2 linked regions of the Drosophila melanogaster genome follow. The protein of the gene in region 1 interacts with the protein of each later gene in a pairwise test. Each region holds a gene or a part of one and is shown in the gene's direction. Other genes may lie near its edges.

The links. Proteins that work in one complex are often made in the same cells at the same time.
Region 2: the proteins of dbe (region 1) and Droj2 interact in a two-hybrid assay, tested with the Drosophila melanogaster proteins (one large-scale study listed by BioGRID).

What each region holds. Positions count from the first base shown.
Region 1 is NT_033779.5:866,338-873,592, reverse strand, and holds dbe (dribble), read left to right. Parts: upstream 1-3,735; 5' UTR 3,736-3,816; coding exon 3,817-4,854; 3' UTR 4,855-4,920; downstream 4,921-7,255. Other genes in the region: PNUTS (phosphatase 1 nuclear targeting subunit), read right to left, coding at 54-1,385, 1,513-1,787, 1,855-1,952, 2,017-2,019. UniProt on the Drosophila melanogaster protein: Required for 40S ribosome biogenesis. Involved in nucleolar processing of pre-18S ribosomal RNA and ribosome assembly. Binds to RNA.
Region 2 is NT_033777.3:13,378,857-13,388,092, forward strand, and holds Droj2 (DnaJ-like-2), read left to right. Parts: upstream 1-3,249; 5' UTR 3,250-3,288; exon of another isoform or gene 3,289-3,347; 5' UTR 3,348-3,402; intron 3,403-3,965; exon of another isoform or gene 3,966-4,256; intron 4,257-4,408; exon of another isoform or gene 4,409-4,607; 5' UTR 4,608-4,622; coding exon 4,623-5,723; intron 5,724-5,813; coding exon 5,814-5,924; 3' UTR 5,925-6,427; downstream 6,428-9,236. Other genes in the region: CG9813 (uncharacterized protein), read right to left, coding at 147-234; CG8870 (uncharacterized protein), read left to right, coding at 1,284-1,356, 1,413-1,962, 2,040-2,487; mRpS21 (mitochondrial ribosomal protein S21), read right to left, coding at 2,531-2,647, 2,707-2,853; CG9799 (uncharacterized protein), read right to left, coding at 6,854-8,031, 8,092-8,523, 8,587-9,236.

The sequences.
Region 1 (7,255 bases):
GTGGAATAAAATAGAGAAGAGCATTAATAGTGATTCTAGCATCTGTTGCTTACTCTTTTTGGGCGCTATCAGCTTGGCGGCTCCGGGCCTCTCCACATGTCCCGCGACGTTGTTGATGTCGATCTTGGCCTTCTTGTCGGTGGACAAATCCCTGGGTGGCGGCGATGGTCGCTTCAGTGAAGACGGGACTGCCATTAAAGCGGGTGAAGCGGCAACCGCCGACGATGTGGGCTTCTTTAGGCCCTTGCGAGATGGGGGAGGCGGAGCCTCTTCCGTCAGGCCATGCGATCTGAATTTGGACTGGTACGTCTTTACAGTGGCCGTCTTTTCGGTGTCCCGGCGAATTTCTATCGAAATGGAGGCCTTGCGGGACATGATAGGAATCGATCTGGGCTTCTGTGCGTCGCTCTCCTTTGCCGAAGCTGTAGGAGATGTACCTGCAGCATTTGATGCTGCCACAGCTGGCGGAGGCATTAGCTTGTTGTCCTTGTCCTTGTCCTGCCTCGAGGATGAGGATGATGACGAAGTTGACGACGACGACTTGCGATCTTTGGACGAACTAGAACCAGAGCTGCTCGACGACGACGACGACGACGACGAGGAGGACTTTGAGGACTTGTGTTTATTCGAGGAAGAAGAAGACGAACCGCTGCTGCGCTCCCGGTCCTTGCTCGAGCTGGAGGAGCCGGAACTTGAGCGAGCCTTGTCTTTATCGCGGTATTTATCGCTAGAACTGCGATGGGAAGAGGAAGAAGATGAGGAGCTCTTGGAAGAACTGCTCTTCGAAGAGGAGGATGACGAGGAAGAGGACGACTTATGGCTAGATGAGGAGGACCTATGACTTGAACTTTCCTTCTTTCTATCCTTCTCGCGCTCCTTCTCGGACCGTTTACTTTTGTCGCTCTTTGAGCTCTTATGCTTCTTATTATCCACGTCCTCCCCAGACTTAACCTCCGCCGCGGAGCTACTATCATCTAACCCGGACTTTTTCCCCAGACTAGCATCTGCTAATAAGTGGGTTGCGGAGGAGCCCTTTTCCAGATGTTCCACCTCGTTGTCTTTCGATTGTGTGCCAGAATCCGTTTCGTCGCCACCATCTGGGTTGTCCAACAAAGGCTTCCACTTGATGGTAATGCTGTTGGAATTGCTACTGTTGGCCGCCGAGGTGATGGTATACGTCACAGGTGCTCCGGCGCTATCAGTGCTGTCTGAAGAAGAGGCAGAGTCCGGAACTGAAGCGGAGCCAGCTCCAGAAACGGATGCAGGAACCTGAGAGGCAGTAGTGGCTGCAATATGTGGCGCAGCACCTTGGATCGTCATGCTTGTGTTTTCCGTCACAATCTTCAGCCACTGCTCTACCAAACGCTTGGCTAGAATGCGTACACCTGGAAAACGGGGTCGAGAAAAGCCAATTAGTAATCCCTAGGTAATTAAAAGCATAAAGGACAGCCCAAAACATGACCCAAAAACACTAATCTACGACTAGAGTAAGACTTATCAAAGAAAACTTACCTTCGTTGCCGCCATCCTTGCACAGCCCCTTGACCAGAATAGGTGCTGAGTTTATCTTGAGGCGATTGACATCCACGGGAGAAAGGAGCAGCAGTTCCAGGATCTCCTGTACCAGCGGCCAGTTCATGGCCCTGATGGCATCATTTAACCAGGTGTAGACCAGCGACCAACCGCCCACCGCCATAAAGTCGCCCAATAGTTCCGTCTTTGTGGATTTCAGAATTTGTACATACACACATTTCGAGACGAGTTTTTTTGAATACTTGGCCATCAAACTGTGGGCGAAAAACTTGATATTAGCAAACGCCGATAGGTGTCGCTGCTGACAAGTGGTGAACTTACCCCGAAATGCGTTTCACCTCCACTGCACTTAAAATTCCACCATTATTGTCCAAAAGCACCCGCAGGCACCTCAGCAATTGCAGTGGAACTATACGAGGCTGTCGAATAAAAACATTAAATAAAGCACAACTGTTGTTGCATTTCCTAGCCAATATAACTCACCATTTTCTTTGTTAGTCGTGCGAAAGAAGAAAATTTATCTGGCAACGCTAACTCCCTATAGCCGTCTCTCTTCCACACTTGTAGGTGTGACCATACGCAACGTGTGCGCGTGTGTTGGATCGTGCGTGTGTGCACCGACACTCGCTTTTGTTGGTATGGGTGTCTTAATAGATACTAAATTTCCACTGATTACGTAATTCCATAAGAATTCGCTTTTTCAAGGACTGCAATAGTATCTAAAATAGGAGAAAACACCAGTCTGAGAACAAATTTAGCAGGATAAAATTTTGCTATATCCCTACAATTCACTTTTAAGACGAGTATTAAATAAATTCCAGCAGCAGCGCCAAAATATGATAAATGCTGTTATTTTATTGTCTCAACTGGCAGTAAACCAATAATCCCTCCGCTTGAATGTTTTGTTTTTTGTTTTGGAGCTGCAGAAAACGTGTTTTACGCGTTGCGATTTTTTCAGGCACTGATGAAATTCGGACGTGTGCTCGCGGCTATCGGTAATCGATAAGCCAGTGCAGCCCTGAAGGCTGTCCACTCTCAGAAAACCGAAAATTATATATTACGACGTATTGGTATTGATACGAAAACATGCGTTCGTCTGAACGTTTGTAGCACAAATGTCTCTCTACCTCGTTTTTGGTTACAACCCAAATTTGACTTTAGGTACAAGCAAAATGTGAAAGTTACTTAGTTTTTCTGTTAAAGCAGGTTGGCAGCGCCTTGCCACGCACACAACAATGACGCCATTTTGATTTTCACAATTTTTCACAAAGGCGTAATTAAATCCGCAGCCAAGGGAAATGCTAGAAAATTGTCTTTTAATAGCAACTTCAACAATATCGGCCACTTTATATTGATTTTTCTTTGTTTAATCCTAATTATCGGCTTTCGTTCACGTCCACGCCCCAAAATTGGACATGCGGTTAGGTCCGCACACTTAGGTCGAGCAAATCGGTAATAAGCCTTCCAGAAAATATATATTAAATGTACAATTGTTTATCGGCCTTACAATTTGTTAAATATTTAATTGGCGACGATTTTTCTATCTCTCCGAAAACTCCTGCGTGCGCTTTGCTTAGGCTCACAAAATCGTGTGACCTTTCCTTGCTTGAAAATAAAAGTTTGTTTAGAAAATACCAAAACGCATAGTCGGAATATGGTAATCTAATTAATACCCCTATTTTGAAAGTACAAACAATAATTATTTACTTAAAAACACTTTTAATATAAATGGATTTAGTTTCCCGTTAACAGTTTCAAAAACTATCCACGGTGGATAATAGCGAATGCTATAAAAAGAAATTTATTGAATTAAGATTTTAATTCATCTTAATTATTCTAACACATATAATGGCATAAGTTATAGATACCCTGAGCTCTTTTTCAATTAAATAAAATTTGTGAAGGTGTCAGGGCTAAATCATGTATTGTTTGACTTATTTCTTATATTTTAGATATTCAGAATTGCATATTTTATTAGTATTGATGTACCCAATATCCTTAATATTTGAGTTACATTGGAATCGCAATTTTGTTAAGGCATTTATCTGGCACACGATCAAATATAATTGTATTTGAATATATATTTTAAAACATTCTCAATCGAAAAATTTATTTTATAATCAAGATAAAAATAAACCTTTAAATAGGTAATCTATCAATAATATTAACCAACCAGTTTTCCCTGATATGGTCACACGCATTTACCGCTGATCTGGCAGCCTGGCCAAAACAAGCGTGCAAGAATCTTACCTGTAGAATTAGCTTCTGAAAACTCGAGTAACGATGAGCGAAAGTGAAGCGGAGGAGACCAAAATCAGCACCGAGCCGGTGGACAATGCGTGGTCCATGAAGATCCCTGCCTTCAGGCAGGAGGACAACCCGCATGGGATGGTGGAGGAGAGCTCCTTCGCCACGCTGTTTCCCAAATATCGGGAGCGCTATCTTAAGGAGGTTTGGCCTCTGGTGGAGCAGTGCTTGGCGGAGCACCACCTGAAGGCGGAGCTAGATTTGATGGAGGGGAGCATGGTGGTGAAGACCAGTCGCAAGACCTGGGATCCCTACATCATCATCAAGGCGCGGGATATGATCAAGCTGATGGCCAGAAGTGTTCCCTTCGAGCAGGCCAAGCGGGTCCTGCAGGACGACATTGGGTGTGACATCATCAAAATCGGAAACCTTGTGCACAAGAAGGAGAAGTTCGTGAAGCGGCGACAGCGTTTGATCGGACCTAACGGCGCCACCCTTAAGTCCATTGAACTGCTCACCGATTGCTACGTTTTGGTTCAAGGAAACACAGTCTCCGCCTTGGGTCCTTACAAGGGCCTTCAGCAGGTGCGGGATATAGTCCTGGAGACCATGAACAATGTGCACCCCATATACAACATTAAGGCTCTGATGATCAAGCGGGAGCTGATGAAGGATCCGCGTCTGGCCAACGAGGACTGGTCCCGATTCCTGCCCAAGTTCAAGAACAAAAACATTAGCAAACGCAAGCAGCCGAAGGTCAAGAAGCAAAAGAAGGAGTACACCCCATTCCCGCCCAGCCAGCCGGAGAGCAAGGTGGACAAGCAGCTGGCCAGCGGAGAGTACTTCCTCAACCAGGAGCAGAAGCAAGCGAAGCGCAACCAGGAGCGCACCGAAAAGCAGAAGGAGGCGGCCAAGCGCCAGGACGAACGCCGAAACAAGGACTTTGTCCCGCCCACGGAGGAGTCAGCTGCTTCAAGTCGGAAGAAGGAGGATGGCTCCTCCTCCAGCAAGGTGGACGTGAAGGCCCTGAAGGCCAAGCTGATCAAGGCCAACAAGAAGGCGAGGAGCAGCTGATAGTTTTCCTAGTTTTAATTAGTAGTAGGACCTATTCAATAAAAATTGATTTTCTGAGCAACGTGTAAATAGAAATCTTAAGGTTTACTAATGGGATGAAAAGTTTGTGGGGACGAACTCGTATTAATTCTAGTTGTTTTTAAAAGCCAATCTCCAAAAATGCAATGGATACATAATGCTAATTCAGCATATAACATGCTGAATACCTTATACTTGTAATAAAATTAAATTAAATACTTATACAATAATTTTGATTCTATTGCGGTGCCCGCTAGTGTAGAGAGAGATCTCTTTCTCTCCCTCTCTCTCTCTGTCGCACTCTCTCAACAAGTGGCTTAATACAAATATATACAAACAACTCAAAAGGCCAGCGAATGAGCCAAGTTAGTACGATTTCTGGTACCGGACTGACATGTACTAACCGCGCTTAAACAGCGGATGACGCTCGCGTGCGTTCCACAATAACAACAAAAACAGTATCTGAAAAGCCACGGCAACAACAACATTGGCGTCGCGGGGCTATTGTTATTCGTACGTTTATTTTCCGCAAGCGACAGAAAAATAGAAAATAGAAAAACGGTCTGTGAGAATCAAAAAGAACGGAGCGAAAGAAAGCCGTCTTAAAAATAAAAATCAAAGAGGAGCGAGAAAGCACTAGACCAAAGGCGGCGGCTGCCAGAAAAGGACGGAGAGAACGGCGAAGACAGGTAATAAGGAGGTGGAAGAAGAAGAGAGGATTAAGTGCTGGACTACAGTTACTTTTAATGTTTGAATTAAAATTGAAACAATGCTCGAGTGATCGCAGTTGTAACGCCTAAAACCGAAGCTAAACCCGAAAATAAGCCCGAAAGCCAGTTGAAATGCCAAGCAAACGTGACAGAGACTTGGATTATTCGTGCTAATTAGAAAAAGAATGTGCTGCTAGGTGAGAGGATGATATCGAAATGCTAACGTGATATCGATACCTGTGTGTTGTGCGTGTGTGTGCGAAGGGAGTGTATACACATACATATGAATATCACACATTTCACCGGAAAATGCGGTCAATTAGAATAATACATACAGCGAATTGAGCCTGTGTCTGTGAATTAGTGAATGAATTGAACAAAGCATTGAAAATCAATACGAAACCTGCCGCCGCTCCCACTTTTGTACATACAGTAATGCGTCGGTGAAGTAATACTCGATTGCGGGAAATCTGGAACATATACTAAGTTCAATCATTTGAAATTGGTTAGATTATTAATTTAAATAATTGCCTAAAGAGCTTCAAGGATGTTATTTTCAATTAGATTACTTATTTGAGGGTCCACTGTATATCCGCGCTCGCACATTACTGTGAAGCCTCACCTGTGTGAGTGCGGCTTATAGGCGACGTGTGTGTGTGTGTCTGAGAGAGGCTCGTGGAATATAAACAGCGCACAGTGAGAGAGGAAAACGGAAAACAGGTGGAAAAGAAAGCTTAAAAAATGCGGTCGGTCAAAAACTAAAGTTGCAGCAACAGGCGAGGGGGTGGCGGGTGCCGGGGGGCTCGAGACACGGAGACAAATACCTTTTCAAGCCGCACACACCAGCGCAAGCAAAGACGTCAGCTTATCTGCCACGCATGCGCGCGAGGGGGACGACAATAGTGTGGATCGGGGTGTCGATGTCTCTCCACCCCCCTCCAGCCCACCACCATCTAACGAGCGGGTTTCCACCCAAAGAACAGCAAAAACAACTATTGTCATTTGTTGTTTTGCCATTTGCTTCGTAAACCAAAAAGTATGCGAGATAAAATAAAAAAGCAAGTGTACCGCACGCCGCCGTTTTATCTAAATCCCAGCTGTCTGAATTATTTGAGGCTCTAACACCCCATCTCACGCTTATCAGGACCCAATTAATTATCTTCACCTGAATGGAAGCTATGCTTGGGGCATGTCTCCAGGTTTATGGTTCTTGTCGGGGAGTTCTTAGATACCAGTGCAGTTATGTATCTTAGATTGCCTTACCGAGGCTTATAATTTTCCCCTATTTACAGATGCATAGATACATATGTGTGGATTGCAAATATTTCAAGATTATAGAAGTACAAAAGTAGTAATACTTATATTATAAACATATATGTATTTCATTTAGCATAATGTTTTTGTAGATGTTTATGATGACTTAACTTAACTTCAAATCACCCAGCAGCTTTAGTACTTTCTCTAAAGCATGATTTATGCAAGCCCAACTATTTCCATGTTACCCAAGTGCGATAATGTTTATCGCGTTTCGTCATTGGCCTCTAAGCTGCTGTAGAGTTAGGAGCGAAAACACAAATCTGTCAAATTCCACAAGTGTGATGCAATTTGGGGCTTGTACGAACAGTAAAACGCTGAAATATAACACAGCGGCGCAACTTAACGAAAACAAAACA
Region 2 (9,236 bases), on another chromosome or scaffold:
AATTACTATATAAATAAATAAAAGTCCGCAAGGGTATAGAATTTTCGGCATTCTGCTTCTAAATCTTAGTTGCTTCAAATGCAAATTAGCTTTGGAGAGCGGAATAAATAAGGGTCAAGAGATGTGGGGGAGTTTTGGCTACTCACTGTAGATGTAGGGCAACAAAGCCGGATATGCCTGGGTCATGCAGATGCTGGCCAAAAGAAGGATGGCCAACAGATTCCTCGTCGCCATGATGTTCTAGCTGTAAAAGACTGAAAGTGACACAAGACGTAATTCATTTGATTAGAGCCTAAGATTCGATTGCACCACATTCAAAGCACAAAAATATAAAGGAAGAGCAAAAAGGAAGCACAAAAACAAGCACACACACCCACGCAACTAGAGAGCGTGACAGGGGGGAGAAAGCAGGCACACATACATACATATGCAAATCACGCTAAAAATAACACACGAAATCGATAAGACAACAACAAAAGCAGGCACAGTAAGGCAGTGGAGAATAATAAGAACGCCAAGAAGCAGGCAACACAAAATAACACGCCAACATTGATGCGAATGCAAAGCAAACACACACACAAGTGTAAATTGAGTAAATTGGCCGCATGAGCGAATTATCGATGCATTCGGGGAACACTTAAGCACGTTTGGGAATCCATTGAATTAAAAGGCCACCGGAGAATAGCTCAAGTATCTGCACTTGCTACTTTCACACACCTACACACACACAAGCAATGTCAATAAATTCCTATATAAAATTTACTTTATAGAAAGCACACAAAAAGTATTCTGTTTCTTTTATTATAAATCACTTCTTTAAAAATCGACCTGACTTGTAACTTGTTTTATCTCTCAGATTTCTAGTTTACGTGAAAAGGTAGGCAGGTCTGCTGCGTTCGAGGAAAGAAAGTATTCTGAGCCGTATACCGTGGAACACTGCGGCCACAAAAGCTTCATTTTGTCTCTCCTGCCGCAAAAAGCTATCTAAGTTATTCTCATAAAGAGAGAAAATCACTCAAAGCACACATATGGTACTCAACAGCAAAATTCTAACCAGAAACCGTTTTCTGCATCCGAAACTGTTTTCATAATGACATTTTTAAATAGTTCCGTAATATTTGAGAGCTCTGTCGCTACTAGCATAAAAAATTGTTCTTTTGATGAGCAATAAATTGATTAAAAATTGAATAAAACTACTCAGAACAATGTTAAAAATAAGAATAAATAGCTTCGACAGTCCTAACAGTCTTGAACAGTTGTATGTGAAATATTCGTGGATCAACATGTTGTTCGGACTTATAGGATCATTTTTGCTTATGCTGCAAATAATTCTTGTGCCTTATTCAAATGGTGCAGGTAACTTTCAGCATGCATAAACTTTGTACGCAATTTAAAATCTATCCTTCCTTCAGGGTGTCAATTTGATACGGAATGCGTGAATCTGGATAAGTGTCCCAGGACCAGAGCAGTTATGAACTCATCCAGGAAAAATATAATAGGTCTTAGAAGATGCGGCACTAATAAAGTGTGCTGCCCCAAGTGGGAAACGTATCTGCCACACGATACTTGTGGACAATCAAGAAGAAAACCTACGAAGGGCAAAATACCGGCGCTGAATGAGTTTCCCTGGATGGCCATGCTGTTATATGGAAATAAAAACAATTTGTCCCAGAAGCTGGTACCAAAATGTGGTGGATCCCTAATAAACAACTGGTACGTCCTGACCGCAGCGCACTGCGTGGAGTATCCATTTATGGACTATCCGTATGCCCTCAAAACAGTGAGACTGGGCGAACATAACACGTCCACAAATCCCGATCGGGCTATTGTGAATGGAAGAAGACAGTACGCTCCTCTTTATATGGAAATTGAAGTGGACCAAATTATTACGCATGAACAATTCAACCGGGGAAGGCGGCTGATAAACGACATAGCACTCGTGCGTCTTAAGTTTCCTGTGCGGTGAGTAATGATTCTCCTCTGGTCGAAATAGAAGTAGGATATGAATTGAAATAATATATCTTTATATCTTCCTATAGCTATACGAGAGCCATCCAACCTATTTGCCTTCCAAGAGCCCAAAAATTGGCCGCGCATAAGCGAAAGTTTCAAGCATCCGGCTGGCCAGACATGGGACAAGGAATTGCAAGTGAGGTACTCTTGCGCAGCTTCATCGCGGAACGGCATCCAGATGTGTGCAAATCAAATTATGACTTTAATTTGGGCAGTCAGATATGTGCTGGTGGTCTGGATGGGAATGACACCAGTCCCGGCGATTCCGGGGGACCCTTAATGGAGACCGTGATACGTGGAAAGGTCACACTCACTTATGCAGCCGGCATAATCTCCTACGGACAGAAGCCCTGCGTACTTAAAACTTGCAAGCCAGCATTTTACACAAAAACTTCATACTTTTTTGAATGGATAAAATCGAAATTGCAAAGTCCATTTATCGACAGCGACAGCAAATCTCGTACTAGAAAATAAGCAATTTATTTAATTCCTACATTTTATTGCCTCAAAAACTAGTTTAACTGCATCCAGGAAAAGGTTCGGCGCGATTTTTGCGCAGTACGAACTGAATTTTTCGGTTCATGTCCTCGTTGTAAATGGCCTTGCATTTCTCGAAGTTGATGCGACGACGAACCTATACAATAGTTTAATACAGTAAATAATAATAAATAGTTAAGTTATTTAAAGTCGAACCTGATACGGCTTTTCGTAGAATCGCGTGCGGCGAAATTGGTCGAGCAGTTCTTCTTTTCCCAAGACGCGATTTAACAGACGACACGCCTCCTCCACATTATTGTTTTGCACCAGAACGGTGCGGGCCAGAAACTGCACGTGTCTCATTTCGGATAAGTAGTTTTATTTTATAAAGTTTTCCAAATGTTTATTAAATAATCGGCTTTCAAAACAGTGTGACCATTTACTGTACTGCTAAACAGCTGATGAATATCACTAACCAGGGCTAACGATTGCTAATAAGAATCGTGGACTCAGAAGGAGTACTTTGAGAACCACTCAACTTAATAAATAAGAAAAATATTTATTCAACACAGTATTTATTAATGCATTGCCAAAATTATTTCTGTAATGCCCATCACACTTAAGAAATACATATTATATCCCATCAAATTATCAAAAATTGCTAATCACCTGAAAATGACTAAAATACCAGTTTTCGGACCTTTGCGGTGCGAGGCAACCCTGATGTTGTGGTTTTTCTTGCCGTTTGCCGCTCTGGTCACACTGGTTTCCAGTTTTCTTCCTAGCGTGGCGGCCATAGTAAGCTGTTGAAAAGTATTCGACGTAAATTAAATTTGTTGTAAAAGTGAAACTTCCAGGAATCGGGCTGCGAAAGTTACTATTTGCTTTAGGCACGACACGACACGAAAAAAGGTGAGCTGGGGCGGCTCTGGGCTAATTAAGATTACCACCTGATTTTGCACATTTCGTCTCGCATTGTGCGGTTTGCCAATGTGTGTGTCTACTTGGTAGACACTTCCTTTGCGCTTGGTTTTCTCATCTCTGTCGTTAAGTAATCATCGATAATTGTTTTTTGTCAGAGAATTTGCCTTCGATTTTTGGCATTAGATTTGCAAAATCGATGGCCATCTAGCTTTTTTTCTCTTCTTTGTTCAATCGAATTCTTCTGACGCAGCGTCTTGCGCGGCACATGTTGGTACGCATACAAGCGCAAAGTCTGGTGCATGTGTGTGCTAGGCACTGGTGAAAATATAATAATTGTATCTATTGATTTGCCTGCTAAATCGAAGGCTGCTTCTAGAATTCATTTCCATTCTTATTTTCGACTCTGCCCTTTCTCCTTTCATTTGTTCCCCTTTTCGTTCTTTTACGGTTTTTTCATTATTACCCTCTCCGCTTTGCAGTCGCCGTTCGCAAAACCAGGGCTGCAATGCGCTGACGAAAACTTCTAGAAACTGTGTGTATGTGTGCGTGCGAAAGAGAAGCGGTTGTTGTCGAAAGGGGGAAAGAGAGCGTCAGCTGCTCGCCGTATTGAAATACGACAATTGTTCTAGAAAATCGACTAGAAAACGTCGCAGTTATTTTCGCGAACACATGGCGGCGTAACGACCTTGAATCCCGGGCTCTAGCTTCCGGCAATGCCTACTATTTTCCGTTGCCCCCCAAATTACACGGAAAAAAATGGGTGATGGCATCAAGTCACAGCTGTAGAAATCAATAAACAAGAAAGGGTCATATGATCGAGTGGTTTCTGGATTTTGAAAAATGTATTTCTACAAAAAAAAATGGGTAACAAAATATAGGTTACTGATTTTTGTTTACAATACTAGTTAGAGAGGAATCAGCCCTTTGAACTATGAAATGTCATTAGATATAAAACTGACAATAACTTCCATCGGGAACCTAGCTGCCATAGAAACAGCACCACAAAATAAATTTTTTTTTTTCATTTTTTATAAGAACTGGCATCCAAATCGGTTGAAACTTCAAAAATTTTCGGTATTACACAACTTCATAATTTCTACCTATATATGCCTGGAGCATACACAAATCTGTTCCCCAATCTGTTATTTACAAGCTCCCAGATAGTAATTACGCACTACTTCGTCTGTTCACAGTAAACAGCAAACAAAATGGTTAAGGAGACTGGATATTATGATATACTTGGCGTGAAGCCTAATGCCACGCCCGACGAGCTGAAGAAGGCTTACCGCAAGCTGGCCCTCAAGTACCATCCGGACAAGAACCCCAACGAGGGCGAGAAATTCAAGGCCATTTCGCAGGCTTACGAAGTGCTGTCCGATGCGGACAAGCGACAGGTGTACGACGAAGGCGGCGAGGCGGCCATCAAGAAGGGCGGCGCAGATTCCGGTGACTTCCGCAATCCTATGGACTTCTTTGAGAAGTTCTTTGGCGCTGGATTCGGAGGTAGTGGCGGTGGACGCAGGCGCGAGAGGCGTGGCAAGGACGTGGTGCACCAGATGTCCGTACAGCTGGAGGAGCTGTACAATGGAGCGACCCGCAAGCTGCAGCTCCAGAAGAATGTGATCTGCGACAAGTGCGAGGGTCGCGGCGGCAAGAAGGGCAGCATTGAGAAGTGCTTGCAGTGCCGTGGTAACGGTGTGGAGACACGGGTTCAGCAGATCGCCCCCGGCATCATGCAGCACATCGAGCAGGTGTGCCGCAAGTGTTCGGGAACTGGCGAGACCATTCAGGAGAAGGACCGCTGCAAGAACTGCAGTGGCCGCAAAACGGTGCGGGAACGCAAGGTATTGGAAGTGCACATTGAGAAGGGAATGCGGGATGGCCAGAAGATCGTGTTCACGGGAGAGGGCGATCATGAGCCGGAATCTCAGCCGGGCGATATTATTATTCTTTTGGACGAGAAGGAGCACTCCACATTCGCGCACGCCGGACAGGATTTAATGATGAAGATGCCGTTGCAACTTGTCGAAGCGCTCTGCGGATTCCAGCGAATCGTTAAAACGCTCGATGATCGCGATCTGATTGTGTCCACACAGCCCGGCGAGGTTATCAGGCATGAGATGACCAAGTGTATTGCCGAGGAGGGTATGCCCATTTTCAAGAACCCCATGGAGAAGGGCACGTTGATCATCCAGTTCGAGGTGATCTTCCCGGAGGTGATCAATCCGTCGGTGGTGCCCACGCTTAAACAGTGCCTACCCCCGGCGCCGGAGGTTGACATTCCAATCGATGCAGAGCAGACGGTTTTGGTGAGTATTTCAGTAGTAGTTTATATCACGATATATAAATAATATATTATTTATAATTAATTTATTTATCGATTTGCTTATCTTTCGCAGGAGGACTTTGATCCCAAGCAACGTCGCCAGCAACACCAGCGCATGGCCTACGATGAGGACGATGGCGGCTATCAGGATGGCCCACGCGTCCAGCAGTGCACATCGAGTTAAGCGCCCCCGCTGCGTGTTGCATCCCCGGACACACAGCCCTAATAATACCCCAACCAACAAGCCGTAATAATATGTAAACCAGCTCCCGGAACACTGTAATTGCGCTTGCAAGTGCCGAAGAACTCCCAAAAGCACCTTAAAACACCATCCAATTCACACTAGGAGGCCCAACCAATCGAGAGATCTAAAGTTATTTCATGCAAGCTACGATATTTAGGTATAAATCAAAGAAACTTATCAGATATATGCACTATGTCTATAACGCGTGGTTGTTTGTAAACCAACATTTTTCTTTATGTTTATGTTGCGTTGGATTGTCAAAGAATCGAAAACGGAAACTGAAACTAAACTAAACTGAAATTGAAATTAGCCGCCACTAGAACCGTATCTAAAGTCCGCGCCAGCGAACACGTCTAGGAACAAGTTTAAGTTATTTAATTCCAGCATAAATAAAAGCGTTAGTTTAAACGGATATAACAAATAAATAATTAATACACAATTTCAACCCAAATGCTGTATATTCTTCTTCCCATAGTTCCAGTATCACTTGCCTTCCTCCGGCTATCTATTGATTCCATAATCGCTGCATAGTCACCCGCAGGTGTGAATCATTCGAATAATGCCAATTGGAGATATCAGGCATATGGCAGTAGTTTCGTCTTGAGTACATTATTTAAAATGCTATCTGGGATAAGTAAAAGATAAAAAGAAAGATAAGGATAGTTTGGGATATATATGGTAATGCCATTAAATCGTTAAGGATATAATGAGGGATTTTGTAGTTGTTGAGGATTATAAAGCATCCTATAAATGAATCTGCGGACCTGCCTGTCGCAAGGAATAACATCAAAAGCAAATTCAAAATGTAAAATGTTTTGTAAATTTATTTACAAAATTTCAAAATGAACTACAACATAATCTGGTGGAAACTAGTGCGCAAAGTTTCGGAGAGCGGCCACAACTCCAGTTCCATAGATGAGCTTCTCCTCCACACGCTGCCAAGCCTCCTGCTGCACCTGGGACACAGTGCGCAGCTCCTTTACCAAATCCGGGAACTCCGTCAACCCGAGACCGTGGGATCGCAAGAAGACGCTTAGATACGATTGAGCCAGCTCAAAGTTCAGATTGGTTCCAAACATGAACTTAACGAGTTTGAGGAACTGCAGCATGGCAAGGAGTGTTCCTCCAGCCTCCGGGTGCAGAGATTTGATCTCAAAGTCAACCATCGATGGTCCTAGTTGGGTCAAGTGCGCCACAGCCGATGCGAAGTCCAGGGAGTCAGCAGTTTCCTCCAGCAGCTGGCCAAAGGCAGTAAGATTGTTGAGAGTAGAAGCCTTCCGAATCCGGGATTCATCCTCCTCCTTCTGACCGTTCTCCACATCGAAGCGCAGTTCCAGTCCCGAAACCGTGGGCAGGAAGAATGGGGCCTGTTTGGGAGCTTTTGGTGGTGCCTTGGGCTTGTTACGTTGCTTGATTAGCTCCAAATCCAATAGATTCTGCCAACGGGATGCAGCCAACCCGGATAGCGTTATCAGTTCCTCGGACAGCTGCGTTGGAGTTTCGTACTTGGTGTCAACTAGCTCGCCGAGTTTTGACTCGTCCTCTTCGTCGATCTCTAGCTCCTTCATGCCATCTTCCAGTTCCATGGCATCGCACACATTCGTGGGCAATCCCACGTACGGAGCCGGCTCCAAAGGATCGATGGAGCGCAGGGAAATCTGATTAAACAGCGTCTTGTTGGCCCACAGGTAAATGCCCAAAAGTCCAACATGTGCGGTGGCCAGAAAGTCGCCATTAGGCGACATACTTAACGATACGCAAGGCGCCTCGACGCGGAAGTGATCCACCATGTAGGAGGAAGGTATGTCCCACACCTTGATCGTGGAGTCCATGGCGGCGGTGATCAGCCAGCGGCTATCCGGACTGAAAGTGAGGTCATTCAGCTTGGCTGTGTGACCGACGAACTTGCGAACAATGACCCTCGTGTGCATGTCTACGACAAAAATCTTGAATGTTTCCAGACCAATGGCCAGCATGGAGCTCTCTCGGTGCTGTCGAATCAGGGCGATTCCATCTGCCAGGCGTAGAGTCGCTAAGGGCTTGTCAACTGAAGGATGGTATGATTTTACAAATGTTTTATTAACTTATGTTGTAGGCAATTCCTTACCCTTTCCTTTGAATGACCAGAACTTGAGCAAGCCTTCCGAACAGCCAGAGATGACGGTTTGGTTAAGATTGTCGCTGGCCAAGCCGCGTACTGCCATCTTGTGGGCTGGAGAGCCATAGGTAGCCCGATGGAGTCCAGACTGGATATTAAAGCGCTCAATGTCGCCACTGCTATAGCCAATGATCACAAAGTTGCCACAGTGCGTCAGCACAATGCATGTGGTCTCGTTCTGGAAGTTGGTGCGGTTGCTGTTTTGGAACTGTTTCGGAACCAGGCGGTGCTCGCCCATACGGTTCTTGCCAAACGACCAGGTTGTCGTCTGAATAACGCCCGCATGGATGGCAGCGATGTTATCCCACTCCTTTTCGCGAGCCGTATCCGATGTGAACTCCAGTATGGGTGGCATTCCAAACTTATCGTGCTCAAAGCGATCTGCAAAGAAGAGTTGCCTATTAAAAATATTTTAAAGCGAGCAATAAAAGCCAAAACACTTACTCTTCTTCTTTGTGGCTTTTGGATTGTAGGTAGCCCTGCCCATGCTCTTGTTCAGCGATTCGGAAATGGTGGAGAAGACTCTCATGGTGCTGTCCTCGCCCGAAGAGAGAATGGATACGCCCGAGCTGCCGTGGTAGCGAATACAAAACGGCGGCTTTGTGTGTCCCTCGCGGATCCTCAGCTGTCTGGCACCACCATCTGGCATATCGAAAACAAACATCCTCATTGAATTGTCTGGTGAAGTGGTGAAGACCACGGGCTCGCTGGGCAGACAAATGGCCGTGGTCACCGACTCCTCGTGCGCTTGCAGCTGACCGGCTAACTTGCGCTCCTCCAGGTTCCAGAAGGCCATGTAACCATTGCTGCAGGCGGACACAAGGATTGGTGGGCCGTCGGTACGGAAGGAAAGGTTGGTGACCTGACCCCAATCCTGCTGGAAGCTCATAAGCACCTCGTCGAACTTAAGGTTAAGCAAGATAATAGTGCCATCCCCGTGTCCCACGGCCACGACATCCAAAGCAGGGGACGGTTCAATGCAGGTGATCCTGCTGTCGTGGTGACTCAAAGTGCACACCACACTGTTCTTCTTTATGTTCAAGATCTTTAGTTGGCCCTGCTGGGAGCCTAGTACTATTTTATTGATGTACGTG